Linked DNA regions of Drosophila melanogaster. The protein of the gene in region 3 interacts with the protein of the main gene of each other region in a pairwise test. Each region holds a gene or a part of one and is shown on either strand. Other genes may lie near its edges.

The links.
Region 1: the proteins of CG2116 (region 3) and eEF2 interact in a two-hybrid assay, tested with the Drosophila melanogaster proteins (one large-scale study listed by BioGRID).
Region 2: the proteins of CG2116 (region 3) and CG13049 interact in a two-hybrid assay, tested with the Drosophila melanogaster proteins (one large-scale study listed by BioGRID).

Annotation. Positions count from the first base shown.
Region 1 is NT_033779.5:21,676,450-21,687,797, forward strand, and holds eEF2 (eukaryotic translation elongation factor 2), read right to left. Parts: upstream 5,668-11,348; 5' UTR 5,593-5,667; coding exon 5,590-5,592; intron 5,110-5,589; coding exon 4,895-5,109; intron 4,836-4,894; coding exon 4,308-4,835; intron 4,252-4,307; exon of another isoform or gene 4,221-4,251; intron 3,732-4,220; coding exon 3,035-3,731; intron 2,954-3,034; coding exon 1,862-2,953; 3' UTR 1,464-1,861; downstream 1-1,463. UniProt on the Drosophila melanogaster protein: Catalyzes the GTP-dependent ribosomal translocation step during translation elongation.
Region 2 is NT_037436.4:16,277,038-16,287,848, reverse strand, and holds CG13049 (uncharacterized protein), read left to right. Parts: upstream 1-5,918; 5' UTR 5,919-5,982; coding exon 5,983-6,000; intron 6,001-6,063; coding exon 6,064-6,591; 3' UTR 6,592-6,717; downstream 6,718-10,811. Other genes in the region: CG13046 (uncharacterized protein), read left to right, coding at 1-134; CG13047 (uncharacterized protein), read left to right, coding at 2,494-2,505, 2,584-3,084; CG13048 (uncharacterized protein), read left to right, coding at 4,192-4,209, 4,269-4,871; CG13064 (uncharacterized protein), read right to left, coding at 7,044-7,298, 7,362-7,370; CG13050 (uncharacterized protein), read left to right, coding at 8,640-8,648, 8,769-9,191; CG13065 (uncharacterized protein), read right to left, coding at 9,871-10,281, 10,351-10,362.
Region 3 is NC_004354.4:8,123,692-8,135,039, reverse strand, and holds CG2116 (uncharacterized protein), read right to left. Parts: upstream 5,229-11,348; 5' UTR 5,122-5,228; coding exon 3,325-5,121; 3' UTR 3,257-3,324; downstream 1-3,256. Other genes in the region: CG10958 (uncharacterized protein), read right to left, coding at 297-2,528; cyr (cypher), read left to right, coding at 7,435-7,979, 8,062-8,350.

The DNA.
Region 1 (11,348 bases), on a different chromosome or scaffold from region 3:
TGCTATTTCACATATGAATGTGTGAATATATAAGTACATTGTCATTGTATGCCACACATTTAAACATTTTTCATCCTTTCACAAAAATCCTTATGGCATTTACACCAAAAAAGGTAAACACACGCGCAACTCCGGGCAATTAAAAACTGTTCACCGTTCACCGTTTTTATGCATTGATTTTTCGCGGAGAACGATTTTGAGAATGAAGTGCTGCGAGGAGAACGAGACAACATCTACTCGGGAGAGAAGAGTGTAGAAGCTCACTATTCGCACTCTGCCTCATCTTCATTCATATTTTCTATACACTTTGGGGTCTAGGCGAAGAGTTTGGGTCCCCCCCAGTCAGGCGCTCTCACAAAGCATTCTCGTCAACCTCCACCCACACACACACACCTTGTACGGCTGGCTACATGTATACATACATATGTATGTACATGTAAAAACACGTTTGTTCGTCTTTGGTCAATTGAAAACCATTTGCAACAGCAACTGAGCTTGCCTCAAAAATCATACTCGACCAATTTGCGTCAATAGTGTATAATGGGAAAAACCCTAATATGGGAAAAATTCATTTCCGGTGTTATCAGTTAATGTCTAACGCTTACAGTAACTGTTACATCCATATACGCACAAAATCGAGGGCCACATTGTCTAGCAGTAAAACTTACTGCTGTTGGCTTTCATCTTCTCACTCCTTTTCGTTCTCAATGAAGTTTCTGCAGTCTGGCATCGATTTTTTCAAATGCAGACACATGCACTAACTGCCGACAAGGCGAACCGACTTTTTCGACTGCCTGGAGTTGTTCGGAAGCTTCTGCTGTCGGCTCACAAAATGGTCAAACAGAAGTCTTTCGAAGCGAAAAGCTGCTAATAATAGAAAACTCAAAGCGAAGAGGGCAGGGGGTCCACGAATGGCAGACGCCGCGGCGACACTTAAAGCACGGTACCATCGGCTTTGAACGGTTATGTCCGAGAATATTCTAATTTCGCAATGGGCTTTTATCTCAAACACACATGAAAATGCCCATGCCAGAGACCAGAGAACCTACTTATCACCGACTTTCCGACAACACGAAAGCAAACTTTTGTTTATGACAGAGAAACGTTCACAAATCTAGGGATATCAGAAATGTACCAAAATATTTTATCGATATCTTTCGACACGCGCAGCATAAATCGTCGTTGACTGTTTACAAAGAAGTGTTTCTTTCAACAAGAGTTTCTATCAGCAAAAATGGAGCAAATAAATAGATAGATCAGTGCAGAAATAAACTTAAAACCTAAATTTCTAGTACTTGACATTCTGAAAATTTGTTGGTCATGTCGGATATCGAGTTAATATTCATTTTACTTAAACGGCGATATTGCTTAGCAAGGACTTCAACCCACACCGGCGCGGTAGGAACGGCTGACTGCATTATTTTCACAAATGGACGACCAGACTAAGTAATAAAAACTAAAATATGCGTCTAACTTTATTCACGTATTCCAGTGTATATGGGTATCGTCACCGACAAATCGCTTTAATGTATGGCAAGGACACAAGAGAGCGCATAATTTGTAAATTTTTCGCAAACAAAATTAAACCAAAATCAATTCTCGTGTCAGTCACATAGCGGCGCTCTGATTTATGTAAAGATAAGTATTAAATCATTTACTTGATTTATTCTTGATTTAATGTTATACAATTCATAATCATCAAAATTTTTATTGTTTTTATTTGTTTTAAAACATTGACCAAAGGCGATGTTTCAAGTGCCTTGCCGAATAAAGATGTTAAATTCGGTCACTCCATATTTTTCTATGCTTTTCCGCTCAGCCAGCTGCACTTGGATGTTGTGGGGGATCGGGTGGTGGTGCTTTACAACTTGTCCAAGTACTGGGATAGATCGGGCAATCCTTCCTTAAGACCCTTGCGCTTACGAGTATCCTGGACGATGGCATAGGGCTTGCTTGAGGGCTCGCTCGGATCGCCAGGCAACACCTGCCAATGATCGAAGACACATTGAGGGAAGGCCTGTCCTCCGGTATTAGAGCGCAGATCGGCGGTAAAACCGAATGACTCGTTGACGGGCAGGTATGCCTTCACAACGAACATGGGAGTGCCCACAACCTGGTTTTCCTCGAATACATGGCCACGTCGCCTGTTGAGCACACCGTATATTCCTCCTACAGCAACCTCGGGGCACTGGATCTCGCACAGGTAAACAGGCTCCATCAGGCGCGGCTTGGCGGTTATAGCGGCAGCGTACAGACAACGACGAGTGGTTGGAATGATCTGGCCACCACCACGATGGATGGCATCAGCGTGAAGTGTCACATCGTAGATGTTGAAGCGGACACCGCGCAAGTTTTCGTCGGCTAAAATACCCTCCTTTGAGGCCCATTGGAATCCAGCGACAACAGAGTCCTTGATTTCGTTAAGGTACTGCACGGACTTGGTACAGTCGAGGATGAAATTCGGACCGGTTCCGTCGGGGCCGAAGCACCAGATCTTACGGGCCTCAGTCACATCGTAGTCGTACTTCTCAGACAAATAACGGGCACGAGCCTTGAACTCATCCTTGGCACTCACATCGCCGTTATCAATGTCCTCGGGAAGACCGTCTGGCATAGGTAGGGCTTTCATCAGCAGACGGTTGTGCTTGTTGGGCGACTTGGACAGACACATCTGGTCGGACTCCTCCGACACAGTCTCACGGTAGGAGACGACGGGATCAGACTTCTTCAGTGGGATACAAGCGTGGTCTTCCTCTAGATCCTTAAGGCAGATCTCCAAATGCAGCTCACCGGCACCAGCAATGATATGCTCGCCGGACTCTTCGATGATACACTGCACCATAGGATCGGACTTAGCCAAACGCTTCAAGCCCTCCACCAGCTTAGGCAAGTCCGCGGGGTTCTTTGGCTCAACAGCCACGCGCACCACAGGGGACACGGAGAACTTCATGACCTAAAAACGAAAAAATTTTAAAAGTCAATAATAAATTTGTATGCTGCTTAAAAAAAGAAGAAAATGAAAAACGCTGCAAACCTTCATGTTGTGGGCGTCCTTGAAGGTGGTAATCGTACCGGTCTTAACCAAGAACTGATCAACACCGACCAGACCGCAAATGTTGCCAGAGGGCACATCCTCGATGGCCTCGACGTAACGACCCATCATGAGAATTGTGCGCTGAATAGCCTTCTCATATAAGTCCTCCTTCTTGCCGGGAGTGTAGTTGGGGCCCATGATTCGGCACTTTTGCCCGGTGGCCACCTTACCGGCGAACACACGACCGAAAGCATAGAAGCGACCCTTGTCAGAGGTCGGTACCATCTTAGAAATGTACATCATTAGAGGACCATCAGGATCGCAAGACTTAACGGCGATAGCGGCCTCATCGTCATGGGGACCTTCGTACAGCATCTCCATGCGGTACTTCTGGGCAACCACTGGCGACGGCAAATGAATAGCAATCATCTGAAGTAAAGCCTCGCCGGCTGGCAGCCAGGTGCGCATCACAGTCTTCAGCAGAGCTTTGCCATCTTTGTCCTTGTCTTCATGCTTCAGAGTCACACCGATTTTCTCGAGCAAGGTACCTATCTCCTCCTTCTTGTAATTCATAATGGCATCGAACACCTTGTAGATGGGGTCCAGGATGTACATGCAGAACGAGCGTTTGTTGTCAGCCTCTTTCTGTTTCTGCCATTTCTTGGTCTTGGCGTTAAAGAAGTTTTCACCCCACAATCTGTGAAGAAGTTGAACGATTAATTGTGCCTTCAGATATTTCTTATTAACTACTTATCACTTAATGAAATGCTTAATGACCAGTTCAAATCGCTTATTTAAAAAAATAATTAATATTATTTTTCTGGAAATTTTGTATAATACAAAATGATTCATTTCAGCCAATAAATTTGTTGCAAATTTGATTTATAAATTTTAAGTCTTAGATATCAAAAATGACGTCCGAATATATCGATTTGTATAATATGAGGCCAAACAACAATTGATTTCAGATATATGAAGAAATTATGTGAACAATAAAAGATTTCTGTATACAATTTAAAAATAATTAGTGTAAGGTAACTGCCTTAACATGACTCGTTTGAACATTAGGAAAGCGGTCCCGAGTCAGCGTTTAAACAGCATCCGAAAGTTTATTCTTCTTCTATTTAAGGTCCACTTGTGGCGCCGTCAGCACGAGAGACTCTAAAAGGACTTTCCTTGCGGAGATGTCTTTCAAGAAGCCGCCCGCTAAGCGCCACACGTTTTGTGGTAGAAGTTTGAAAACATTTACAAACAAACTTGAGACATGACTCACCGGTTCATTAGCTTGACAACATCAATCTTGAATTTCTCGGAGTACATCTCAGAGAACTGCTTGAGGGTGAACGCCCAGCCGTGAAGCCCAGAACCGAAGCCCACTGATCCCTTAGAGGGATCCACGCGAACCTCACCCATCGGTCCTCCGTCATCGTTATAGGTGGCAATGATAACGTTTACGTTCTCGACGATGCGCTGGAAGGTCTGGTACAGCTCCTCGGCATCTAGTTGCAGCTCAAGCAGAGCGCGGTCCATTTTGTTCATGAATAGGATGGGCTTAATACGCTCAGCGATGGCCTGACGCAGCACGGTTTCGGTCTGGACACAAACTCCGGAGACGCAGTCTACAACAACGAGTGCACCGTCGGTTACACGAAGGGCGGCGGTCACCTCCGAGGAGAAGTCAACGTGACCGGGCGAGTCGATCAAGTTGATCAGGAAACCCTTGCACTCCTTCTCGCGCTGATCGGGGTGGGTAATGAACACCAGATCCTTTTCCTCCACCTCAAAGTACATGGAAATGGCACTGCAATAATGAAAGGCGGATTAAAAAAGCCGTGGGTGCTGGAACATGACTGGTCTTACGTCGACTTGATGGTAATGCAGCGCTCCTGCTCGTCCTTGCGGGTGTCAGTGAAACGAGTCTCACCAGCCTTGGCTCCGGCAATGATACCAGCCTTCGACACAAGGGAATCGGTCAGAGTGGACTTGCCGTGGTCTACGTGGGCAATCACAGACATGTTGCGGATGTTCCGCTTCTTGTCCATGAGGCCACGGATCTCGTCGACGGTGAAGTTGACCTGTAAAATAAATAAGGCATCGTTATGTACATATTATAACGAGTTTCCACTCGATCTATACACAGTGCTGATTTAAAAATGGCGTCCATACACACACTAAGTCTTCACAGTCGTGCAAAGGTCTTTGAGGTTAGATAAGAACTAAAAACCACAAATCACTCACTCGCGAGTATGGGCATCGATAAATATAGCAATATACATCTATTCCTTGGGTATTTCACAACAAGCACCAAACAGGATCACATTCTAGCCAAATTTCAATAGAAAATTGCATACGTCATTCCTAGTCTTTGTCTTGCATTTCACCATAATGCACACACACACAACAAGCAAACGTGAAAATATGTGGACACATCATTTCACCAAGTAATGGTTGAGACATCTGCACTTTTTGCACTGGGCATTAAAGATATTAATGCAGGTCGCCTCTAGGCCTTTTCTGTAGATATGGGGCTATTATTTCTGACTTTGGGCACCTACCATTTTGGATGTATGGAGATTTTCTCGCGGACCAAAAAAACACTACGCCTTTCAACGGCGTTTCGACAGGAAAGAGCGAGGCGCTGCAGCGACCATAGAGCTGGGACAATTCTTGATATTTTCGATAGTCGGAACCAGTAGTTGATCGATAGTAGTTCACGTGACAGATTCATCAGATAGTTATTTTGCATGTTTACTTTATAGTTTTTAAACTTTTATTTTACAGAATGACGTTTTCGTAATTTTCCACGTAATTTTCCGCGTCGAAATCGTGGTTGTTTATATAGCCATAAATAAATATTGCTAAGCACTATTATTAATTTACATACATCCGCTTAAATTTCTTCTAAATTATTTTTCTTAAAAATAATCTAATCTATATATATATATTTCTTTATCGCTTAAACTATCTTATGAAAAATAAACTTTAAGTGAAAGCTAGTTATATTCTCATTTGCTCATAGATGCCGAGCCTTTAAAGTTAACGACTTATGATAGTTTCGATCAAACGGCATTTCGAAATTCTACGCACGCAGTAATATTTAAAGTATAGCAAGCGAGAACGCTATCGTCGATTTTTACGACTATTAGATACCCATTACATAGCTAATGCGATTCTCTAGGAAAATATTTAAAAATTTTGTTGGCGTTGCGGTAGGAATTAAAAAAAGGTTTGAATTGTGGGCTTGAAAACTTATTGAGGTTTGTAGGTGTAAGAGTGGGTCACGCCACGGCATATCGACAGAAATTTGGCAGACAAATAATAAAACGAAAAAAATCAAGAGATCCGAAAGTCAAATTTTCCGACAAGAAGTTTCAAAATTTGTAAAAAATGCGGTGGAAGGTCATGGCGTAAGTGTTTTTGGTATTCATTATACCCGCTACTCGTAGAGTATAAGGATATCGTTTGTTCGTTGAATGGTATGTAACAGGCAGAAGGAAGCGTTTCCAACCATATTGCTCAGGATCAATAGCCGAGTCGATCTAGCCATGTCCATGTGTCCGCCTATCCGTATGAACGTTGAGATCTCAGGAGCTATAAAAACTAGAAGGCTGAGATGCCCACTCTAACGCCCTAAAACCGCACCATTAACCATTTTTCCAAATTTGTTCATAATTTTATTAGTCTTGTAAATTTCTATCGATTTGCCAACAACAAGATAATTATTTTATAAATTATGAAATATGGCGTTCGCATTCACACTAGATAAGTAATGGGTGTTTGATACTCAGGGAACTCTACTATAGCGTTCTCTCTTCTCTCCTTTTGCTCTAGCGTCACTTGAAACTTTCGAATTAGACGGCCTCATGTCACCTCTGAGTTCAGGTTCGTATCATTGATAAAGCAGCCTTGGAAACTCTACTCTACTGTACCCTATTCTCCACTTGCGATCCCGCTTATATCAGATATTTTATTTTTTCTAAAAAACGTGGAAAACTAACCAGGAACTAGAGATATTGGTCAATTGAAAGGAGGACAACAGTTGAATATTTTCAACCCGGGGAAGACAGAACGCCTAATTGGTATATTTTGAATAAAACTTTTTAATTAAACCATAGCCAAACACCTTTCCGCCCAAAATAATGCTTTGTTTACATACACGTACCATGTTGTCTCTCTTTTGACAAACGTTTTGATATTTGTTGATTTTTGTATTCGTTTTGTAAATTTCCATAAATTTTTAAAAATTAAACCACGTACATATTTGCCCACCGGTGCCCACGCATCAAATATAGAAATGGTTCGTGAAGCTGCTTCAAACTGTAGAATAGCTCTCTTGCTGAATTTAACAGCTTTCGGGAAAGAAAAGAGCTTTTTCTTTTTCTCATTATTGTGTTCCACATTAAAAAAAAATCACTCAAACAATACCCCTCACCACCTAGAACTCACCTCACTTACCCCTCACCAACCAGAACTCACCTCACTCGAATTCAAAAACTCACTCGTTCCAATGTTGCTGCAGCATTGTTGCTCGCATTTTGAGTCAAGCTCGTTCTAATGTTTCGGCAGCATTGTTGCTGCGCGAAGACGGCCGGCAAATGAAAATGATGACGACGCGGGCGAACAGTTTTCAAGTGATTTTCCGAGCTCGCGGGCTGTGCTAACGGTAAAGGAAAATTCAGTGATTGGGGACTTTCACGTTGCACAGTTGATGTATTGCTTTGTGCGCGACGGTGTTGTTGTAGTGCGAAAGCAACAAATATTCAAAAAGATTCAGTTAAATTACGTGATTAAGTGGTCTAGGATTATCCACTTAAAACCGTTTGCAAATATTATCAGTCACCTTTTGCTCAAAAAATGTAAAGTTAAACGTTTACCGACCAATTTGAGCCGAAATATTTAAAGTATACTTTATGTTGTGTTTTCGACAAAGTGAAAAATTATAATACTAGAAATTTACAAAATATGTGAAATGATATATATGATCGAAATAATATAATTTCAATAATAAAAAATTAACTTATGCTGACAAAAATTATATGTTTTATTTCTTTTCTTTACTTAGAACATACATTTTAATTACTCAATAAAATGTAACATTTAATATGAAACCAAAAGTAATATAAACAAAGCTCTATAAAAAACGACAGGCAAACCAACTATTATATAAATCATAATTAGAAACTACAACGCAGAAAAAGGAGCAATAAGCCTAAAATACTCTTAAACCGTCAAATGCATCATTTTGGAAAAGCATGTTCCATCGTTTTTGTCGCACGAAAAGTTAAAACGATACTTATTGTCCAACGAGTGGCAATTGCGTCAATCTAAATTTTAATTTAGTTTGAGTGTGGAAGCTTCCGATAAACTTGAAAATGGATCTTGGATTTTTATTAGATGAGCGAGTCAAGCCATTTAATTTCTGATTGCCGTAAGTCTGACAACTTTACTTGTCTACATACAAAAATCCTACTAAACTTTTAATTTTTATTCAGTTTTCTTATAACTTGCATGGTTTGTGAAGCATAGGTCGGTAGACCCACTTGATTAAGCTTCTATATTGTAAAGACTTGAGTTGAGAGAAAAACTGCCGAACGAAGTGCTTTTAAAAATGCAATATTTCTTTTGGGTCCTAAAGACTAAAATTAAGAGTTATCGAAAGCAAGGATCGTTATGCTAGATTTTACATTATTATCCCAACCCCCATTAGTAATTGAACTCAATCCATGTACGAAGTCCGATAACATCCAACAAAAGTATAGGAAACTTTATATGTGTACCGTCGAAGAGTGCATATTTTAGGTTTCGGACAAAATCCCAATAAAGATTTAATAAGAATACGAAATGCCCGGTCCCAATGTATTTTTGTAAAGCACACAATGAGACACAAAAGCTTAATAGGCCCAATCCGAACTCGGCACACGGGAACCAAGCAATGTACATAAGTGTTCACATATGTCGACAGTTCCTTAATAAACGGCAAATGCATAAAAAGGTTCCGACGACTCACACAATGTCGTCGTGCTTTTTAAGTAAATTGTAAAACATCCAAGAACAATTTTTGTTGAGCGTGGGGTGCTAAAACAAGTGTGAATAAGGTAATGCGGAAAAAGTTTGCAAAAAGTCAGCGACAGTGTAAAGTGCCGAACAGACTGTCGGTTGTATGGTTCGGGTGCATAAAAAACCAAGGTATGAATGAAAATTCAGCCAATGTGGAAAACGTCTTGACCGGGGGATGTTCATATGATTCTGCCGTCAAGTCCTGCCCGTACCCGTACCCGTGTGGTCACTTCACCCAGAACTTTTTTTTAACATCTTTATCAATTTGAGAAGGGCTTGGCAGGTGGAATTGGAAGGACTCAAAGCTTTCTATCAGAAGGTTCAAAGTGACAAAGCGAGTTTTAATGAGTATAACAATTTAACTACAAGAAGAATTCTGCTATACTCAACTTCAAGTATACAAGCAGATGTAGATTAATAAATTGAAAACAAGAAAGAATACTATAGTAGAGTTCCTCGACAATCAGATAACCGTTACTCAGCTAGTGTGAATGCGTACGCGAAATTTCTGGGATATCGGGGAATAAAATGAGAAAAAATTTACAATTTCTTCAAAAGTATGGGCGTGACCGGCTTAGCGGTTTTAGGACGTTACAGTGGGTGTGTTTTTTGCAAATTGATAAAAATTTACAAAACTAATAGAAATGTGAAAAATATCAACAATTTTTTTTAAAGTGCGGGTGTGGCAGTTTTGTGCTATTTCTGGACGTTAGAGTGGGAGTGGAAACATGAGCAAACAAACTTGGGCAGCGTCTTTGTCTCTGGAATCCGTATGCTTAATCTAAACCTTCAAGATTTTATAGTTCCTGAGATTTCGATATTCATACGGACAGATTTTCTCTCTTGCTTTTTTTTCGTTAAATTCTTGCTTCCAAACTGTCAGCACCATTTTGCTAGAAAGCAGGAGGTATTATAACCCGAATGAACACATTATATTTTGTACGTTGGTCCATTCGGCTGTACCATCGCGAAACAATCTTGCTGCTGAAGATACAGGGTGCGGCAACATAACTTCCTTTTTTTAAAATGCACGCTATTCAGTTAATTGATGTCATAGCGGAGCGATAGTGGTCCCATTCAAGAGGGGTTACTGCAAAGTTTTTCCCGCACGGCGGGAAGCACAGCGTGCATTTCGGTATCGCTTTAATTTAGCTCCGTTGGCTCACGTCCCAGACCGCAAATCAATTGTTTCATGGGTCACTACATTCAGGCAAACTGCAAGTGCGACAAAACGATGAACTGGAATCCCTCGACCCGTTAGATCGCCTAAGAACATTGAAGCAGTACGAGCGTCAATATTGCAATCCCCACGGCGTTCTGCGTCCAAACACGGATCTGCCTTTGGACTATCCGATCGTTCTGTGAGAAGAATTCTTCATGATGATCTTCATTTTCATCCGTATAAGATGGCGATAGTGCAGGAACTTTCAGAACGTAACTTATTTTGACGGAACACTTTCCAGAGCGCTTTATCTCATAAATATTTTCCGATGCCTAAAATAGTATTCAATGAGTTCTGAAGAAATAATATTATGCTGCCGCACCCTGTATAAGTGTTGAAGCTTATTTCGGTCATGATACTTGCAGCATCTGCTGTCTTCGGTGTGGGTCCATTGCAATTGGAGAGTGCCTGTGGAGTGACAAATCCCTATACGTCACTCAAGGAGCGAGGATGTGAAAAAGACTGGGTACGGCTAGGCTCCAGATATCGGCGACTGTGAATTGATCTATTTTTTGGTAGTCGATCTAGCTTTTAGTTAGAAAATCTGATTAAAAAACAAATAAAACTGTATCGCTTGATTATAGAATTATAGAAATCTGGCTTTTATTGGATTTATGGGTCAAATGACTAACAACTGTTTACAAATTGACCTTTGAAATTGTGTTCGGGTGCCTTTACTTTAAATAACTCACAAAATATTTAGTAGCAAGTAATAATTTATAGCGAATCACATGCACTTATTATTTATATTGCATATGTCATTAATAGTTACATCTAGAAGGCGTTGCTAGCTGAAACCAAAAAGTTTTGGCTGTTAGTGAAAAGTTACTGCTATCTTTTTGCTCTGTAAAAAGCGTGTCTTGTGTCGTATTTCTGTCGTTAGGCAAACATTATTACCTATATAAACTCATATATGTACATGCATATGTGCTTTGAATCGAAAAAGAAACTTCTTCATTTTTTATTGTCTAACCTTATTTTGACTTTCACGTGTCCCCCGTTGATGCTTGCTTATTGAATTTATAGTTCTCACAT
Region 2 (10,811 bases), on a different chromosome or scaffold from region 3:
AGCTGCCAGTGCCCTTTGGCATTGCTCCACTGAATGTGGCGCAACTTCCGCTGCAGGCTGGGGCACCATATGCCAGTGTGCCCAGAACCACGGGGCTAACCTCCTATGGAACACCGCAGATCCAGAGGCGCTAGTCCAGCAATCCTAGCCCATAGAATAGCAATAGCAATACATTTAATAGAGCCAGAGCCATCCCGACTGATCATCAAACTGCGATGACTTCTGCTCTTAGTGAATACACATTGATAATAAACTTGCCATCTAAGCTTAGCCTTTCGGTTGAGTCTCTTTTTATTGGCCATTTTTAGTCTCATTGCCATCGATGGAGACTGCATTTGCATAATGTTTTGAAGGTTAATACGCGGGCACACACAAAAAAAAAAGAGGTCTTCGTCCATTGGATTTACACCTTTCACTCTCCTACGATGGGTTAATGGTTGCTATTTACATACACACAAATCGGGCCAAGAGATCTCCATCTCCATCCGCGCCTCATAATGAGACCTCAAACTTGGCATTGGCATTCGGAATTCTCTTGTGAAAACAAAAGAAATCGAGACAACGACTAACTTTTGACGTATATTTATGAAAGCCAATTAAAGTCAAGTGTCATTGATCAGATCTGGGAACGGAACTGGGAACTGGGATCTGGATCTATCTATATATCTAGACATATTTATGCCTGCCGTATAGAACCTGCTTCCCGCGAAAACAAAAACGGGAATTAGAAATATGGTCTGCATAAATTTGGGGCTTAAAAATCAATTAAAGCAAACGGTACTGACGACAGCCAAACAATTCCTAAGAGGGATAAAGCTTCTGATGAGCCTCTAAATCAGATTGCAAATAAATTTAAAAGGTTAACTAGGAAGTGAGCGGATCGCACAGCTGTGAAGTGGAGTGCTGAAGACAAGAAGTTGATGGCGATGGTCTATGAAGATGAAGATGAAGATGGTTAAAGATGTACTCATTTCCGTGCTTGAGTCACCGGAAAATTGGCGCGTCATCGGTTGAGAATTCCTGTCCAGAAATTGTGAACAAGTGAACGAGAAGAGGTCACCCTTGGAGTTGGAATGTACTAGCTGTGGTTGCTGCCAAGATTGGATCAATCCGATCAAAAGTGGCCACAATGCGGATACAGAATACAGAATATATGGAAAAGTATACAGTTACATGCGTGGGGCAACTTGATCACCAGATATCATTTATATACATATATATATATCGCCCTCTCGACTCGTCATCGCGACAACCTTGAGACCGGCGTCATCATCGTATCGGATTTCAGAAGCAGCTATAAAATAACGACCATTTAGATACTCTATACGATTTGTTAGTAAGCGGTATGAGTATAATATTTTGTGACTGTACTACAGAAAAACTTCGATTTTTCATAAACTCGCTCTTTGAAATCATGCTCCTAATGGGTTGTTCTACCAAGTCATTGACACTAAAATATGCTAATTTACAAACATTCATAAGTAGCAAAAGTACCCGATCATAAAGAGTAAAACAATGCAAATCGCAGACACCAAGCCATCAGATGACGACGATGCTGCTGACCAGGCCAGCACGTGACCGAGAGAGACCGAGAGAGATGGCTCATTAAGTCAGCTAGCAAGCAGGTTTCGACTGCTCGATCATTCGGCCCCGCGCCTTGTTGGCCAATTAAGCTGAAGCGAATTGATGAGACCCACTGGATGAGGATGAGGGTGCATCACATCCTGTGGCCAGGTGGCGTCAAGGTCAGGTCAACACGAAAACAAATGAAGACCCGTCGGCTAGGATGAGAGGGAAATTTACGACCGCCTTTTATTGGCGTCTCTGCAAGCCATTAAAAAGTGAACTAATGAGACACTTAGTGGGCCGGAATCGTGGCCTTTGAGGAAGGGGTACCATTTTTATGGCCAATTTGACTTAGATTGCGGCCAATTCAATGCGAAGCGGCGCACATTGATGGCCCAAACAGACTGCAAATTACGACAAGACAGCCCGGCCACCGAGTCAGTCTTCAATTGCATACAAATGTCGATCACTGCACTTGGAAAAATTTTTATAAAGACTATAACTTGGTATGCTATACAAAAAGTTTACCTCTGCATGTAAATACACTGCACTAAATAGTTAAGGTTAAAAATTTTAAATAAAATATTTATACATTGAAATCAGAATTATATCATATCTTTTCTTATAATATTTACCAAAGCTCAAATATTTTTCCAAGTGCAACCGAAATATTCAAGCGACAACTTGGACAACTTCCGACAGTCCATTGGGCAATTGAAGGCGGAGCACGTCTTGGCCAAATGGCGATCATGTATGCTACTTGGCACTCGACCAGGTGGGCCAGCTAATGAAGAAGCGACCAAAAATCGGCTCAGACAGAATGTCCCCCAAAGAGCACGGATATGGGCACGAGCTATATAAGCCACTGGTCTGGCTCCAAATGAACATTATCGCTCAAGTGCTTTAGACAAACCCAACCACAGCAATATGTACAAGTTTGTAAGTGATCCTATGGGGATTAGCGCCCAAACAATGTGGACTAAGAGGTGGTTAATGATTACCTATCCTATTTTCCAGTTGGTTCTCGCTGCCCTCATCGCCTGCTCTGCGGCCAAACCAGGAGTTGTAGCTCCACTGGCTGCTCCTCTGGCTGCTCCCCTGGCCTACGCTAATGCTCCTCTGTACGCCGCAGGTGGCAGCAGCCAGGTGGATGTCCGCAACAACTACGACGGCACCCTGTCCTCCTACACCACCGCTCCGTTCGAGTTCGCCGGCCCCTACTCCAGCCGCTATGTGTCCGGAATCCCAGCTGCCCCCGCCGTGGTGGCCAAGTACGCTGCTGCTCCTCTGGCCGCCGCCTACTCTGCTCCTCTGGCTGCTCCCGTCGCTGCTCCTCTGGCCGCTGCTCCCGTTGCTGCTCCTCTGGCCGCTGCTCCCTATGCCGCCGCTGCCTACTCCGCCTATCCCTATGCCTCGCCCTACGCTGCACCCTACCTGGCATCTCCCTACGCCGCTCCCTACGCTGCATCCTATGCTGCTCCCATCGCCGCTGCTGCTCCAGCTCCAGTGGTGGTCTAAGGACACACCTGTGAAGCAGGCCAAACTATAGGAAATTTTTGATAAACAAAAAAAAAAACTGATAATAAATTACGAACCAACAATTAGAGCGCACCATCTTATTATTTGCAGAAATGCCTTGAATAATTAACGAAAAACGAAAGTACTATTATTTATCGGATATTTTTGGTTCATGAAAATTCAATTGGACGCTCATTTCGATTGGGTCAATATATATATATTTCTTAAGAAAATATAAAATAACTTCTTTACTTAACTATGATCAATTTTTGATTAGATGATTCCTTTTGTGCAAGTGGTTTTATTAAGCATCCATATATTTCCAGATTTCAGATAGAGGAAGTTATTTAATTTTTTTTTAGAAACTTTAGAACTTTCCATTTAATGCTCTGAATTTCTCGTTTCTCACTCATTTCTTTGATATGCAAAATAAGCTTGTTTATTGGTGGATATCATTTAATACAAATTATGCATAAATTATAGGTCTGCATTTAATTTTTAATGGAATTTTTTCTAACAGCTGCATTGAATTTTAAAGATAATATTGACAAAGTAGCAACATACATAAGTTAGGGACTTAGGGAAGTTAAAGTCAGACAACTTGGTCACCATGTAAACAATATTTGTTGTGATTGCGTTGTCACCTAAGGCGCAATATCGATTGTTATTTATGGTCAAAGCAATATTTATGGATTATCATAATCATATTCCACTCATGGGCAACTGTCAATGCCTGGGCTTGGTTGGCCCCATGTTATATAATCATGGGCCGTGCTTTCGAATCGCCCAAGAAGTTATTGGCCCCTCGATCGAAGGCAGTGCCATTCGCAGTCGCCGTCTCAGTCACGACTTGCTGACCAACTAAATGGGATTGGGTTGCCTCCCTCCAAATGATGCAACCCATTAAGTTAGGTGAGTGGGCCAAGTCGTCGTCGAAAGTGAAGAAATGCAAGTGCAAGTCTTTTGATTGCGTACCGCCTTCAATTCGCTATAAATATTAATTTAATTTGACAATGCAAAGACATTAGCAGCCGAACCAACAGGTCGAGCACATCGATCGAGAAGCTACTGCCCCAAAGAAACCGAACTTCAAATCCCCCAAGCAAGATGTGGCAACTGACATGGGTAAGGACTGCAAAGTTCTTTTGACCAAAGATATTAATAGGTAACCTAAATATTTTTAGGCCTTTGCATTGGCTTTCCTGCTGGTGGGTGGTGAGGCAAAGCCCTCTCATCTTCACTACAATCACTTCGATCCCCACCATGTCAACCACTTTGACGGACATCATCTGAGCCACTTGGATTCTCTGCATGCTCTGCCGCACCACTTGGATTACGCGGTGCAGGAATCGGTCCTTCCTCCGCCAGCTCCTTTGCTTCCTGCGGTGGCTCCACCACCAGCATTTGCTCCACCACAACCTGTATTTGCTCCAGCGCCTCTCTTACCTGCTCTTGCACCATTTTTACCGGCTCCTGCTCCTCTTCTGCCCGCTCCTGCACCACTTCTACCAGCACCTGCACCACTTCTACCAGCTCCAGCTTTTCTGCCAGCTCCTACTCCTCTTTTGCCCGAGTTCCATGTGCCCAGTGTCACCCATCAAGTGCTGCCGCCCGTCCTGGAGGCGGTGCCCTTTGCACCCACCTACCGTGCCATTCCCGGACCGAAGACCACCACCCACCGCGTGTCCATTGGCTACGCCTTTCCCAAGCTGCTGGCCACGCCCCACGCCCATCTGAAAGCCCTGCCCCTGAAGTTCGCTCATCACCATCACCACTCGCTGTGGTGATCATCCCGACCTTACGGATGATGAAAACCTCACCAAAGAGTAATTAGTGTCAGATAGGATATGTAAAGCTTAAATCTACAAGTCTACCTGCATTATACAATAATTTATCGAATAAATATAGTGAAATAAAAAACGAAACAAATAAAATTCATGCATTATACAATAATATATCGAATAAATATAGTCAAATAAAATGAATTATAAATCAAATTACATTTATACTCAATTTAAGGCTCTGTTAACCTTAGAATTCAATCATTGCGTTCTTAAGCAAAATATATGAAAATATATTCAGTATTCCCGCACATTCTTACCAATTATTTCCAAAAATAGAAATCCCAGAGAATGTAACTGCGGTTGATAAAATCATAGGCACACCAAAAAATTAGCAAAAGGAAACATATTCGCTATCTGATTCAGACTCTCATTACGAACCAGACGCCTCGTAATGTCGCCAAATGGGGTTTCATTTATTCGGCCAACACACACACACACAAACTATTGGCAACACACACACACACACACTCACAAGTGGGGCACAGAAATGTTGTTAGTGGATTTCGAACTGCACGCAACATGAAATCAAATCAGAAATTCCAGACACAAACCCGGCCCAAACACGCGACAATTGTTGCAACAATAAACAAAAAGCGGGTGGACGAAAAAAAGTGGTAATTCAATTAAATGATTGAGCCAAGTAACACGTACTCTGGGTAAATAATTGCAGCTCATTACAAAAGCACCACCCACCGAAAATATTCGAAAAGCCCCAACTGTCATAAACCCGACCGAAACCCAAACGAAATCTTGCCCAATATTAACCTAGGTTATGGTCGGGAATTGCGTGCAATTATGAAAGTTTTCGGGGGCGATCGACGTAAGAGGCTACCGATTGATTATTAAGTACATATGTACATATATCGCACCGATCCAGCAACGCCCTTCATCAGCTCCCAATATAGAAAGTCTTCCAAGGTGTTTTCGTATGCGCGTCCATGGATATTCCGTGGGCTACAGAATTATAAAAGCGTTACCCAGTGGACAATTGGATATCACAGTTCAGTCTGCCTTCAAGCTAATCACACCTAGCAAATCATACCCAATCCCCAAAATGTTCGCCAAGATTGTGGTGAGTTGCAAAGGATGTCCGGATCTATCGAAGTGGATTATAGATATATACCTTCATTTACAGCTCGTTGCCCTCTGCGTGGCCTCTGCTCAGGCTGGTCTCCTTCCTTTCCATGCTCCGGCTCCACTGGCTGCTCCACTTGCTCCTGCCTTCGCAGCTCCCCTGGCTGCTCCTGTGGCTACCGCCGGAGTGGTGGCTCCATATGCCTCCAGCTTCAATGCCCACCGCATCAACCACGCCGTGGCATACCCAGTGGCTCCTGCTCCAGCTCCAGTGGCCTTCGCTGCTCCCCTTCCCGCTCCCCTGCCCGTTCCAGTTGCTGCTCCCGCTCCAGTGGCCTTTGCCGCTCCTGCTCCTCTGCCAGTGGCTGCTGCTCCTGCTCCGGTGGCCTTTGCTGCTCCCGCCAAGGTTGCCTTCGCCGCTCCCGCTCCGGTGGCTGCTCCTCTGGGCTTCGCCCCTGCTCCGGCGCCTGTTGCCTTCGCCGCACCAGCCAAGTTCGGATTCGGACCCTTCGCCGCTCCCCTGGCTGCTCCAGTCCCAGCGCCTCTGGCTGTGGCCCCCAAGTTCGCTCCCGCCCCATACTTCTTCTAAGGACTTAGCTGTAGGATCACCCAGCTCATACACTCCCATCCGTCCTATTAGATTGTAGAAACTAGCCCAAATCTTCATCTCCTAGAGAGCAGCAATGCTTGGCGAATAAACAATTATCCATTAATCAAATTTACAAACGTGTTTCTTTGAGGAAGTTTACTTGGTAGCCTCTCAGTAGTATTTCCTATTATAGCTGCCTTGGATTATACCATCCAAAATCATATTTCAAATTAATACTGCTCTTAAAAGTCGAACATCATTAGCGGATAATATATAATACCTTCTAAAACCATATAAACGGTTTCTATATTTTTTACGGATTTTTAGGTAAGTTTTATAGAATCATTCATCAGTGATAGCAGCAATGTTAAACGTAATGATTAAAAGAATGATTATTATTATTATTTGTTTTTATTTATAAGTTAAACTATGTTTTTCTAGGGTATACATCGCTAGAACCTAATGTTTTTGACATGACCAATCCTCTGGAAGAGAGGAACATGTTCGTAGGGCGTGTGCGAAATGGGCACCGAATCGTAGGTGACGTGGGCAATCTTCGTGAGAGGTGCCACAATGGTGTAGCCAGGATGCTGAGCCAACTCCTGGGGCGTTGATGCAACCGGCAGAGGATGATGATAGATCACCGGGTGATGGTAGATAACCGTGGCGGCAAAGGCACCACTCAAAAGGCCGAATAGCACGACGAGCTAAAATAAGATCTATCAGATACAGATACTAATAAAGGAGTACTGAGTATCTATCCTGTTTACCTTGAACATTCTCTGGTGATATTGTGGTCAGAACTGCACTTGGACTAAGCTGAATGCAGCCGAAGGCCAATCAATTTATAGGCTCGTCTTCATCGCTGGATTTTCATAGCGCTTTTAAACAGTTAGGAGGGGTAAACCGGTTGACAATCCCCTGAGATCAGCAACTGCATTTCCCTTGCTACCAGGAACCTGTTGCAACATCCATGTAGTGGGAGCACTACTCCACTTGGCCTCTGGTCCCCTTCTCTTCGAAAAGAAACCCGTTTTCAAGTTCAAGTTTAAAGCGTCAACGCCGAAGATTATCAAAGAGTCAGTGACTCTTTTGTGCACTTAATTATGGCACATTGGGTTGGTTGGTTGCTTTTGTTGTCTTACATTTCTCGGCTTTTTGTTTGTTTGTTTTTTTTTTCTTGGGAAGTATGAGTTAGTTGGTCACACGTCTGCGGATTTGCCTTTGTTTACCCATTTGATGTCTCTTTTCAATTTTAATCATTGCCCAATCTTGTGTTTTTCGAGCTATTTTATGTGGCTTTGGAGGTGTTAAGAATTGATTAGTTTGACTTTATTCAGCGGCTGTTCGAGCTCTTTATGCTAAAGCGGTTATAAACGTTGTTTTAGTTTTAATACTAGCACACTCCCTACAACGAAGTTGCTTTTGTGGCCAGTCTGACACATACAAATTTTGCTTAATATATACTTGTGTTATAGATTCGTGAAAAATAGATTTTGAAATATATTTAAATTAAACCTACGAATATATAGCGTTTTTTTGGAGGAGTCTATACTTTTACTTATATAGTTCTCTTCTTTTCTATACTGAATAAAAATAAACAGACCATTGACCCGAAGTTCAGATCTTAGTTCTTGATCAGATCCAACCGGAATCACATGAAGGAAACGAAGGAAAAGGCCACCCACCAGATTTAAAATGCCCACAGGCCAAATTAAAAACTGGAACTGGAACCATTGTGGACTGGTAAATGCCAAACTCGATTGCAGATTATACAATGCTGGCCCAAAAGGCAAAAAAAAACAGGTGTTGGATTTTCTTTTTATTTACAGCAGCTACGGATGGTTTTGTGGCATGCCGCTAACTTGGGCAACTTGTCAGGCGAATTAGATTTACTTTGTGGCACTGCTCATTAGATCACCGATGTCCATGTGGGGATGCAATCCACTGAACTGGGGTTTGGTATAAAAGAGGCCTGCTGGGATCAACTGCAGCAACACAATTGGTTAAGCCGCCACAGAAGCAGCCGGAAAATTACCTACAGCAAGATGAAAGGAGTAAGTGGTACCAGGATATAAAAGGATAATACAATTATTAATAAAAAATACTTTAGAAAATATAAGCAATTTTTTTTACTTAAATCATATAAATAACATTTGTCTTTTCTTCATTGAAAGCTGCTACTCATTACAATCGCCTGCTTGACGACCTCCATCCTGGCAGCTCCTGCTCCTGAACCCGCTCCAGAACCATCTCCGTCTCCAGCTCCTGCTCCATCTCCATCACCCAGCATTGGAATCGGAATTGGTCATGGCTACGGTGGATATGGCCTGGGATTGGGTCTAGGAATCGGGCACTACGGAGGACTCTACGGGCACGGCTATGGCGGGCACTATGGAGGTCTTGGTCTGGGATTGGGCTACCATGCACCCATCATCTCCAAGACGATCATCGGCAAAAGCTACTTGGGCGGCTATGGCTATGGCCTCGGTCACGGATATCTCGGAGGCTACGGCCATGGACTGTACGGAGGACACGGTCTGGGTCTGGGTCTGGGTCTGGGATACGGACTGGGATATGGCTATGGCCACGGTTGGTAGAGGTACTCCCAAGTCAAGTAAAGTTAAGCCAAATGGAGCCGGGACGAGCGTGTGAGAGTTTTCAATCAAGTCATATACTTCGCAGTACCCAAATCTTATTCAGTCAGTCACTCAGCAAGTCAATAAATCAATAAAGACAAAGCAAAAAATGTACAAAAAACTAGAATCATGGTCAACCGTTTATTAAAACTGGATCTTTTTTTCTCACGGTTCTTTGAGACATATTTATAATTGTCTTAATTGCCTATACTAAACATATATTTTGATACTTAATGTAAGTAAAGCACACTTTTGATGTTCTGAACAAAATATATAACATTCGTTTACGATTTCAAAACTTTGGCTATAAGGAACATCCAAATACTGAAATCTGAAAATAAATATCTGAAAAACAAAATGAAACTGAATATTTGAAAATTGTCAGCACGTTTTTCATATTGCCTCAAACGCTTGATCAAATAAAACAGTTTTAAGTTTAGTTTTTAAATTCAATCGAAATATATTTCAACATCAAACCCACTCTTCACAATCTGTTTTTTAACAATTTGATTTCACTTTACAAAACCTTCACTGATTTCTCTCTCTCTCTTTTTTCTCTGTGTATTTACATCTCATTTCTGACCGATCCAAACAAAACGAAATGCATGCGGAAAACGATGATGGGTGGTATGGACCTCGTTTACCATCCATGAGCGAGTCCATAGGCAGGAGCAGCAAGAGCTGTCTTGTAGCCCAGTCCCAGAGGAGCACCCAGAGTAGGATATGCCGACTTGTAGCCCAATCCCAAGGGAGCGGCCAGAGGGGCGTGAGCTAGTCCCAAAGGACCATGAGCCAGGCCAATGGGACCGGGACCATATCCCAATCCGTAGGCGGAAAGGGCCGGAGCAGCCAGAGGAGCGTGCGCCAAGGCCGGGGCGGCATAGCTAAGCCTGGGGGCCAGCCCGTAAGAGGCAATCGAGGGAGCAGCCAAGGCGTGTCCATAGGAGATGGCCGGAGCAGCTGCAGTCAGCGGCAAGGCCGGAGCAGCTAATCCGCCCAAATAGCCAGGAGCAGCAGCAGCGCTGGCCAGGCAGAAAACGGCGAAAACGAACTAGTTGATGGGGGAAAAAAAAATGAGATACTAACAAAGGACTTTTCAGAGTATATCAATTCCACTTACGTATTTGAACATTTTGGTTTTGGTTGCAAGTTGAACTCGTGGCAAGAACACAAAGCTGAATAATGCCGCTGTCTAAGGCACAAATGCTTTTATAGCCCACAGACCTGGCCAAAATGCAGCACGAGAACGGATCCAAACTGGCGGCCCAGAGACTTTTACTTTTGTTCAAACGAGAGACATAGGCATATTCGTAGCCCAAAACCGAGTCCAAGAGAGCCACATGCAAAGCTGGCCTGTCGAGTATCGAGATGGCGATGGAGACCTGGGACCCACCGGAGCACCACCTGGCCCCGCCCCAGACAACGCGGATGTGGGCCTGGGCTGCGATTTGGCCATACCCTTTCGGTGGTAAACTAAATGAGAGATTGTTTTTATCTAATGAATAATAAGGATTTTAATACGTAATTAGGAAAGTCATCAAATGAAATATTACATAAATTATTCATTAAATTTTTGATTCT
Region 3 (11,348 bases):
TGAGCTATAGACGTAGTAATATTTAACTTTGAGGGGTTCCATTATTTTAAATATTTAAAATCACAAGGTTTTCATGTTCAAAATATACTTTTATTGCACGACTCTTGAATGAAACAAGCTTTTTCAGATGGCGCCCGTGCAGGGACCCCACGTCTCTAAACTATTTCGATGTCAATGTCAAAGAGCAAGACCTAGGCACAATTATAATTTATCATGTTTGCAGTGAAATCGGACAATAATTGCTTGGGATTATGTATGTGCATTGCGGTTGAGGCTGTAATTGAATAATATCGCACCTAGACGGTGAACTTTTGCAGCAGATGGCGCAACTCTTCGTTTTGGCGACGCAGAAAGACGACTTCCGCATCGTACTGCACACGCATCTTGAGCACCTCAACGTAGTGATTCAGTCCGTGCTCCAGTGTCTTCCACAGCTTGCACTTGGAGGCCGGGAAGCAGGCCGAGAACTGGCGCCAGAAATTACGGATCTCCGCATCTGTAATCTGAATGAGATTTACCGCATTGAGAATGCTACCCGGTTCGTGTTCGTACATCTTTTTGTGCATCTTGGAGGTGAACAGATTCATGGCGTGCAGGCAGAGGGCCGGTTCCATGACCAGATAGTGATTGTGACATCTCTTGGCCGCCACCTCGCTCTTGGGTAGAAATGTATCCCCTGTCGACCTATGCTCCTTTTCATCCGGTTGGCCACCCGCCGCGCCCTGCAGCCGATTTGGCTTTTGATCCTTCATGAACACCTCGGCACACTTGCGTGGACTCAATCCCTGCGGCTGGCAATTCGGACAGTAGGTGTACGGCATGAAAACCTTGGTCAGTTCCTTGACATCCCGCAGATGACGAATTCGCAGCGCCGCAAATATATTGTCGATGCGTACCAGGCATTTTTCCTCCTCGGAATACGGTTCAAGAATCTTTAGCAGACGCTCCTCGATGAGGAAACCGCCGCGATCGGACAGCTTGCGAATAAGATTACGCATCAAGCGTAGTGAATCCGGCGGAAGCTCCTTGATATCCGGCTTGCAATTTACGCCCGAGTTGGGCATCACCCTGTTCTTGGGAACCCGGCCAATTCGCATGTCAAACTTCTCCAGAATGTTATTGCGCTTTTTCTTCGCCTTGTTGATGTTTGGAATGGGTGGCACGGGGCTGGACCACGGCATGGCCAACTGCTGCTCGTGTATGATGCGATCGATGTGGTAGACCCGATCCACCAGCAGGTTCAGTTCCTTGTAGTTGATCTCCCAGATGCGATCGAACTTTTCGCGATTGTTCAGCCTCGCCTGATGCGCCTTCGACTCCATATCGTTGATGTTGGAGTGCAGCTTGTAGATGTCCGAGGAAAGACGGGCTATGTTCCGCTTGCCCGTGTTGTAAAGATTCTTCAGGCCACGCCGGGTGCGTCCGATCGCCTCATGCAGTCGGGCCACCCGTCGCTTCTGCTGGTTGTTAATGATCACGTTCTCCTCGTTGCGCTTCTGGAGAACCTGATAGTTGTAGTCCAGCTTCTCGGAGTTCATCAGCACATTGTCGCGCGTGCGACGTAGCTCCAGCTCGAGCCTCTCGCACTCCTTCTCCAGCCGAATGCGAGTGCTCTTGGTCAGCTCCTCCTGGGACTCGTTGATCTGCTGGGTTTGGCGAGCATAGAATTGCTCGCGTGCCCTTACCAAATTGGCCTTCTCGTCAAAGTTGGCATTCATCGCATCGAAGAAGGTGCGCCACTTCTCCACCGCATTATCGGCGAAGATTTGACGCTCCTCCTCGATGGTTTGCCGCAGCATTTGGATGTGCTCCTTGTAGGCCTCCTTAAGCGTCTCCACCTGGTGATCAACGCGCTCCACCAGACAACAAAGATCCTGGGCCTGCCGCTCGCGATCGAACTCGTACTTGGCATTCATGCGGTCCACCTCCGCTTGGCAGGCAGATATCATCTCATCCTTGCGTGCCATAATCTCGGCAATGCGTTTCTTTTGCTCTTCGATTTGGTCCCACAACAGCATCGGCTCATTGGTCTCCTCCAGCTCCGTCCAGCGCGCCTTAATGTTCTCGAAACGGGCCATTGTCTCAACGCTTTCGCGTTGCAGCTTCACATGCATCTGATTCTTCTGCGCACCCTCGAAGAGTCGGCGATTCAGCTCCCTTCGCTCGTTGGCCACCCGGACATTGGTCACTAGTTCTTTGCCAAAGCGCACCAGTTCGTTCAATCGCTCACTGGACAACTCCAGCCGTTGATCAATCGGCGACTTCTGGGCCTGGCAACGTTCGGCGACGCCTTTCGGGGCCTCGCGGAACTGCTGACGCACCCGGTTGAGTATCGCCAGCCGGCGTTCGTCCAACTTCTTCACCGACTTGTCGCATCGCTCGTTAAAGATCAGGCCATCGATGCGGTCATTAAAGGACTCCCAACTGTCCACTGGTCCCAGATCGGGCTCCACCTCCTCCTCCTCCTCGACACTGCCGTCGCTGACCAGCTCCTGGTGCTCCTCCAGCTCATCCTCGTTGTCGTCCATTGTTTAAAATATATGCCAGGTCGAGATTTGGATGAGAATCGCTTTGTTGTGCGGAATTTCTGAAGGCAACTCTGCTCCAAATCAAGGTGGTTTGTTGTGTGACTGGAGAAGTTTGATCGAAGGATCCCGGGTTCCCTTGGTTTCGTGGTCATTGCCCATTTCGCCTACTTTTCCGGTAGAAACAAAAATGTTGTCTTTACGTTTGTTTACTTCTGTTGTCAGTGGTGCCCGCCCCATTAGTGTTGCAAAACAAGAGAAGTGCAGGCTTAAGCAAATATACATGATCTTTTTTTTTAATAAAAAGTGTCTCATGACTGCTTTACCATATTTTGTCAATAATAATTAACAATAAATCATTGAATAATACGTATTTAATACATAAAAGTCTATTTAGTTTTGAAATTAGTTCATCTCCACCCGAAATAATCGTTATCGAAATGGAGCAATAAGTGCTGTAGCTAAAGTTATTTCCTTCTCACTTCCTCCTGCTGTATAGCCCGTGCTGACGTCACCGGGGCCTTGCTAAATGCAAAATGAGTGGAAAATTCCATTGCCAAAACCGCAATGACCCCTTGGTACAACCAAAAGGCGCGATGTTTGACCCCTTGGTTGCAATCAACAGTCCGAACTTGATGCCCTTTAAAATACAGCCCTGCGGATTTGTACACACTGGGTTGCATTCGACCAAAAAACTTGGTACTGCCATTCAAAAACAAAGTCAAGCGAATGAATTCTTTACATGATAGTATTTAATTGCGACCTATATATGTACAAAATTTGCGCGGAGTTGCGGCACTCAGTTATCCTCAGTCTTCAAGGTGATTTCATATATCAGCTCGTCGTTGTAGTCCTGCCCTCGGCCATGATGCTGCTGATGCTGCTGGTGATGCTGTTGGACAGCGTTAAAGTACTGATCCTCGGTTAGCAGCTCATCTAAATCCTCACCGCCATCCTCTGCGTCCACTGCGTTCTCCACCAGCAGGTGCTGGTCATCGTAATCCGATAGCTGCACATACTGTTGCTCGCTCTCGTCCAAATATTGGCGATTGGACGGCGAACCCTGCTCCTCTGGTTGATTGTCCTCAACCAACAGGCCGTCATCCTCGTCGTACTCCTCCTGCAGTGGGCCCATGCCGTCGTAATCGTCGTCCTGGCCATTCATATTGCGACCGGAAATGGATTCCGAATCGGATCCTTCACGATTCCCATCCGCATTCACAAAGCGACGCGTATTGCTACGGCACTGAATCGAACGCTTGTGGGCATCGAAGTAGCTGATGTCGGTGAACTCCTCCTGGCACAAATGGCACACGTATGTGCCCTGGCTCAGATGCATCTCCTTACGATGACGGGCCATCTTGTGAGCATCGCGACACTGCATGCCACAGAATGGGCATTTGAGCATCCGCCGCTTGCCCATGTGAACATTGCGGATGTGCTCCTGCAGAGAGAAATTCTTGTAGTAGGCCTTCTGGCAGTACTCGCACTGGAATCGCCGCTTCTTCTCGTGCGTCGCCTCGCGATGCCGCTTCAGCTGGGTATTCTGGGCGAACGTCTTGCCGCACACTTCGCAAATATGCTCCTTCTCCAGATGTCGGCGCTGATTGTGCACGCGCAGATCCTGCTTGGTCGAAAAGTATAGGGTGCACAGTTCGCAGACGTATGGACGGATGCCCATGTGGCGCCGCGCATGTCCGGCCAGGTACTTGCAGTCGCGATACGTTTCCGTGCAGTAAATGCAAGCATAGCGATTGGTGCCAGGCACCAGATGGGTCTTGTGGTGCTTGGACAGCTTTGATTTGTGCATCACATCTGGGCAAATGCCGCACTCCACCGGCAGCTTCTCGTCCATGATGTCGCTGATCATGGAGAACTCCACAAGGGGTGTGCTATCCTCGTCAAAGTCCACAATGGTGGCTATCAGGTCGTCGAAAAGCATGTAGCGACGCGGTCCCTTGAACTCCTCCAGCATCTTTTCGCTTGGCTTCACCTCCTTCACGCTACCATCATCGTCGTCGTTGTTTTTTTGGCTGACAAAGCTACGTAAGGCGATCTGGCGGGCAGAATTTCTAGCTTTGCTAGCGGGCTGGACAACAGGCGACGGCGGCCTTGGTGGCGATGGTGGCAGCGAGGGTGACGACGGTGGATACATATCCAGATCCTCTTCCACCCTTTCGTTATCGCGCGGATGGCCGTAGCTAGGTTCGTGCTCGTAGTCGCCGTAGTCGCCATAGTCCGCCTCCTGTTCCATCTCCGGTTCCACCTCCACCAAATCCCCCACTTCGCTCATATCCAATTCCCTGACCACAAATTGCGGCATCTGTTCGTCATCCGTCAAATCCTTCACCCGGGAGCCCACTATAAAGTCGCGCAGCTCCTTGCTCATCAGCATCTCCTTCTCCACGCCGTTCTCATTGACGATGATGATGTCCTCTTCGAACTCGTTGCCCAGGTTGTCCAGAAGCACGTAGGTGGCATCATCGCTAGTGTTAATCACACGAACGTTTCCACGGTTGTCTTCGTCCGAGTAATCGCTATTGGCCGGCAGGACGAATTCGATTACCTCGTTCGCAAGGCAGCGTTTGTGGCTCATCCTGGTCACATCAACTGAATTAATTAATTAATTCGCACGACTGCCGAAAAAAAACGTAAAAAGTTGCAAGTGTGACCAGTCGCAGGTTGCTGGCCGAAACTAACTATCGGATACCAGGTATCGATGCAATTTTCAACAAAATACTCGCTTTGTAGAAATGCTTGCTTCCTTCCGCTTTCATACATCGACTCACTCTGCGTAGATCATAGATCATGAAAATCCAACATTTTGAGCTGTAAATGCCACTCGATTTGAAACTTTATTACAAATTCAACGAGGTATGACATTCCATATATCGACCAATATTAATTTTGTTTCGATCAAATAACTGCTACTTTTTGAAAAGAAAAACGAAAATTCGAGAAATGCGAATACATCTATTCGAATTTCGATCATTGCCTGTGTGAAACGTGTATTTTCTTTACTAAAATATATATAATAAATAAATTAAATATTGTGCCGATGAATAGATCGCAAAATATCGATACATGCGCATTATCGATAACGCGCAATTTGAATAGGTGCTTGCGCGCCAAAAAAAAACATCGCTGGGCATGCGCGACGTCGGCCAACGTCTTTTGCCGCTTTTGGCCCCTTCCCTCATTGTTGTTGTTGCTGTACTGACTGTTTTGCGGTCTGCGCTCGCGACTAACTTGGCTAACTTCTGGACTCGGAATTGGCCCGGTGCATTGCATCTGCACACTCGGTGGCGCGCGCTTGTCTTCTTGAGACTTCTTCAATCCAAAACGGGCGTGTTTCGCGATCTCATCCACTTGTTCAATAGCAGTTAGTGTTTTGTTTTTTTTTTTACGGTGTTTACTGTTTCTGTTCGTTGAGAGCGTGCGAAGTGCGCGCATGCGTAGTAGCTGATAATTAACCAATTTGAAAATTGCGGTTCTTCTGCTTTTTTTCGCAATTCAAATTGACCGCATAATTGCGCAAGGAATGTGATTTTTTTTACTGTTTATAATATAAGTGTTATAGAAAAAGAGAAGAAGCTCAACGCGAAATCTTAAAGAATGCTAAAATTGGGATGATGAAAGGATATTAAATTCGTTCTAAAAGGTAAGAATAATATCAGTTATACATAAAAAAAAAAAACTATGTCAAGTTACAGTAAAAACAAATGGTTAAAAAAATATCACACTTAGATTTAAAGAACTTATCTGTGCGATTTAGAATAAGGACCAACTGAAAGGATCGTATAAGTTTATTGACAAAAAAACATCTATACAATTGTAACCACACATGTTATATTGAATAATATCTCAGTATATTAATTTGTAAGATTAAGGACTAAGGACATAAGCCCTATGATTTTGAAATAACTCAAAACGAGTGAAGGGCACCGTCACTTCGAAAGATACAAATACATACATACTTGTATATTTAGTTTTTAAGTAGAGTCCAAGTTATATTGTTAATTGGGCTGATTACAATGCCCAGTCAAGTTAATAAGAGATGGGAATCACAAATACAAATAGAGAGCACAATAAGCGAATAACCAACCATACTAGCTGCCAGCTAGTAACATCACAAAATAGGATTACGCAAAGTTGCAAACGCATTATGTTGATGTTGATTTAAGCTTCGGTGTTTGCCTTTATCGCATCTATTTATTTATTTATTTGTTCGCCGTGCTGCAACATCTTTAGCCCGGTAGCCCCATGGCTCCATAGCTCCATTGCTTTATAGACTCCATCCAATCAAACAAATATGGGACAAACTTGACCCGCTTTCGTCGCGGATTTGGCATCACATCGCATCGCATGGCATCGAAAATGGGCAGGGAAGGGCTACCCCAGATTGGCCTCTCGTTTATTTGGCCATTAAAAATTACATAAAGTGACAGCGTTGTGCCCCTTTCCCTTTTTCTATTAGCCCTACAATTGATTAAAATCATCAATATTGCTAGCTATACCTTTAAATAGTTATTTAACAATTGAAGTACAAAATTTCCAGTTTAGTTAACCCATTTAAACACGAAAGCCCAGCAGCAACAAGTACACACCATGCCCCCCCCCCCCCCCCCGTAATTACTTGACCCAAAATCATCGCTATGCTATGTATGCAACTAATGCATTTCCATTTCGCAGACAAGATTCTCGAACTTGGACTGGGAGTAGGCCAATTAAGAGTTAGCCACGCGGCCGCACGAACAGGTGTCGTCGCTTCCAACACAGCAACATCTAGTGACAGCAGCAGCAACATCCAAAGACAGCAGCAACAAGTGGCATCATTATCGTTTTGCGGTTTTGATCATCGGCGGGGCGGTTTGCCGTTGCCACTGGTAGAAAACGGGAAATCGGAAACATGTTCTCCTCCAGCGCCTCGGCCGCGTCCACATCCTTCAATCTCGGCCAGCTGCTGCCATTGGCCATCGCCATCGGAGTGTTGCATCTGCCGCAGTTTCTGTGTCATGCTGCCTGGACAACCAGAACGCCGGAAAGTTTCATTAACGATACGACCACCACCACCACCACCACCACCACCACCACAACCAAGACCATGCAAATCCAGGCGATGCAGGTGAACTGCAGCCGGGAGCTGCTCGAGATGCATCTGGAGTTGAGCCGTCCCTTTCGCGGATTACTCTACGCCAAGGACTTTCCGCTGGAGTGTCGCGCACGTGGCAAGGACTCGACGCGTCTGCATCTGCGCATCCCAACATCGGGTTGCGGAGTGAGGGCAGAGCCACTGGAGGACGGCAGTCTGGAGTATACGGTGCGTGTGATGCTGCAAAAGGAGCAGAAGTTGCGCCAGAGCACCGACATCCTTAGCTCGGTGAGATGCCAACTTCCGGCCAATGCGATGGGCATGCCACTTCCGGTGTTGCGACAGGAAAAGGGTCACGATAGGTAATTCTACAAATGCTTTAGTTAATGTAACAAGATGGAGAAGTTCTTTTATGATTCGATATATATATATATATATATGTAGAAATGCCAGGATGCGAGCCTTGGCAGCTGCTGCTGCAGTTCCAGCTCTCGGCGCCACTTCGTCCATCAATCAACAGCAGCGGGAGACGCCACGCGTTAGGATCTGGTTAGAATTGGGCGGTCCCAATGGCACCGGATCCGTGGAGGTGGGCGTCGCCACCACGCTGACGGTGAGAGCCATCGTGCCCGGAAACATCGGAGTGCGGGTGGTGGACTGTGCGGCACTCGATGGACTGGGCGAATCCACGCAGCAATTACTCGATGCCCGCGGCTGTCCCATCGACGAGCAGGTGAGTGAAGCGATCAGCTGAAGCTATCTATCTATATGCATATGCATATATATATGGACGTATCTGGTGGATCGTTCATTTGCGTAACAGGTGCCGGCGGCGCGACATTCTACGCCAGACCAGACCGTTAGAAACTTAACTTGGATGCGACGAGACGAACGGAAAGTCATTAATTAGCCACGATCTCGATGCTGTGGGGCGATCTGCGATTGATCGCATTTAACTTTCATTTTTATGTGCGACATCTAGAGGGTATCAATCTAGAGGGTATATCGGGCCAATCGATGGGAAAAACAAGTGGGAAAAACAATCCATTCACAAAGTTCGCTTAAGTTCATCTGCCAAATGATTTAAGCTGCCAGAACTAAAGTATTTCCAAAATTTTAAAAAGAAATATCATAAAATAGTTTTCAGTCGCATCAACTTCACATACCCTGTAAATTTCTATGGGTTGCGTTTTAGAAACGTTTTAAGTGCATTTTGAAGACGACGAAAATGTAAAACAAAAGCAATTTGATTTTCGATTCTTTGCCACTGATTTCTTGATTGCTGCGAAAGGGAAATCCAAATAGATGGGACAACCTATTGATTGGAAGTCTTTCTTGGGATATTTTGCCGCCAAACAAAAAAAGATACATTATCAAAACTAAGCCTGGCTCATTAAGTGTAACAGTTATTACAGCACCGACCATAAATGTGAGGCAAACGGCAGCAAAACCGAAACTGTTAGCCATAATTACGCGATCATCGTTAGAACAGTTTTCGTTGCCCAGCCAACCAGGCCCAAAAGAACTTAACTCAACTCGACTCGACTCGACTCGAATCCACTGAGATTGGCCCAAACGATTAGGTAAAGTGGGAAAATGGGAAAAATGCGAAGAACAAGCAAAGTGTTCTAGGGGTTCCCTCGACTCTCCAGCGCCTCAAATCTCAGGTTCTTCTTGAGTAAATTAGGAGGTCACAACAATTAGCCAACAGTGAAATACATAGAAATATTTATCGTTTAGCATTTTGACATGCCCCTGTTGCGGTTGCCACATCTTCCTTTACCCGCCGCCACCTAACCATTTAGTCGCTGCACAGTGGAACTTACAGCGAATAAAAGTGATACTAGGAAGTGTGGGTTCAATTCGAATTATTCGTGTTTGCTCGAAAAAATGCATATGCCACATTTTAATATCATTTAATAGTAAATATGTGAGAAATACCTTTTTATATACAAGATTTTGTTATATGTTTTTATGTATGTATATCCTACAAGCAGTTAATCAGATTTTTTTCTTTTTTAAGCTAATTAATAATAATAATTTAATTTTATAATTTAAAATTATCAAACAAGTAATTTATTTAGTAAATTATGCAAATATTCCTTGAAGCTATGATGCACATATTTGTGCATGCTGCTCTGCGACGATTGGGCCCACTGTGCGACAGTGGCCAATGCCATTGCCAGGCATTTGCATTTCGGTCGCCGGCCGTCGCAGCTTTGTGCACATGTCATTCATCCATTCACGACCAGGCGGCCTTAAATGGGTCAAACAAATCTCCGGCTGACGGCTTTGCTACTTCTTTGTGTTGTTGGTGGTCAGGGCAGCGCTAGAAAAATCACACGGCTTAATTTCTGTTTTATTTTAACGGAACGGGCTAGAAGACACATAGTATATATTTATATGTGCATACATACATGCAAACAAACATGCAAACATACATACAAACCCACGAAGAAAACCATTTGCATTTTATGTTTGTTTTATTGTTCAGCTCTTGGCGGCTGTCTTCCGTTTTAGCACATTTCATTTTCTTTCGCGTTGGTTTATTGTTTTATTTTTCTGTGCCTTTTTTTTTCTACTTTTTTTCTTTTCATCTATTATTTTGCTCTTTACCTCTTCATCAAGTCGCTCCAGTGCGATTGCAAATTTATGCGCGCACCCATCACAGGTTGATTTGTTTGGTTAAGAAACACTTCTGGGTCAGAGCGTGGAGGAAAAGTGAAATAAAAACCGCGTCTTTTGTCTGCAAACGGCGCCGATGATGGTGACCCACATTTCGCCATGGAAGCTCTAGAACATGACCCACTGTGCAGGTGGCGTACCGTTAAAAGGGTGAAGAAACCTAAACTATAGTTACTGATCCCACACAAGGTTATCTATTTGCATGAAACTACCATCCATTGCATCTATCGATTAACCCTGAATCCTGTCGATTATTTCGATTAATCCATTTAAGTGTTGGCAATCACCGCGTTATCCCTGTCTTCTTTTTCACGGGAGGAAGCATTTGGCTGTTGTTACATTTGCATTCGTACAATCTTTCTGCACGTGAACTCATTTGAACTTCCGCAACAATTTGCTTTTTCTCGTTATTGTCTCGGATTTCGCATTCACATCCACCCGCACATTGAAAAAACACGTGCTTGGGCGTGTAAATTGAAACTGTGGTACGCCATCTAAGCCAATCAACGTGCCTTGGATGCAATACTACGATTCGCACATACCCTCTTTGGATATATGTACTATAATCAACTTATATCAATCTTGAACTCTCAGCAGCTATCAAAGATCAGATGCAAATAGTATCTGTAGATATTCCATTTATTCGTATGTTTGTATCATATCAGTTAGGGTATTTTCGCATTCGTTTTTCCGGCTTGAACCCTTTTTTGCTTTAGTTACCACCAACAATGGCGAGATGTAAATCGCAGCGTCTTGTAATTCCATACATCTGTTTCCAGCGATCGCACATGCATCATACCATTCACATGTAGCATCCATATCCACAATGTGCACCACTTGCAACTTGCGACTCGGGCGTTGTTGTCATTGAACTTGGCTTGGCCACCTTTTGCTCGCTGGTTTCTTGGTACTAACTATGGCACCATATTACATATATACGTAACGGAAGCGACCGTGTTTTGTCAACCCGAATTATTGTATAACAGGCGATAAAAAAAAAAAGTAGAGAGGGCCATGAAAAGCGCACAACTGGTTGGAGTTCAGGT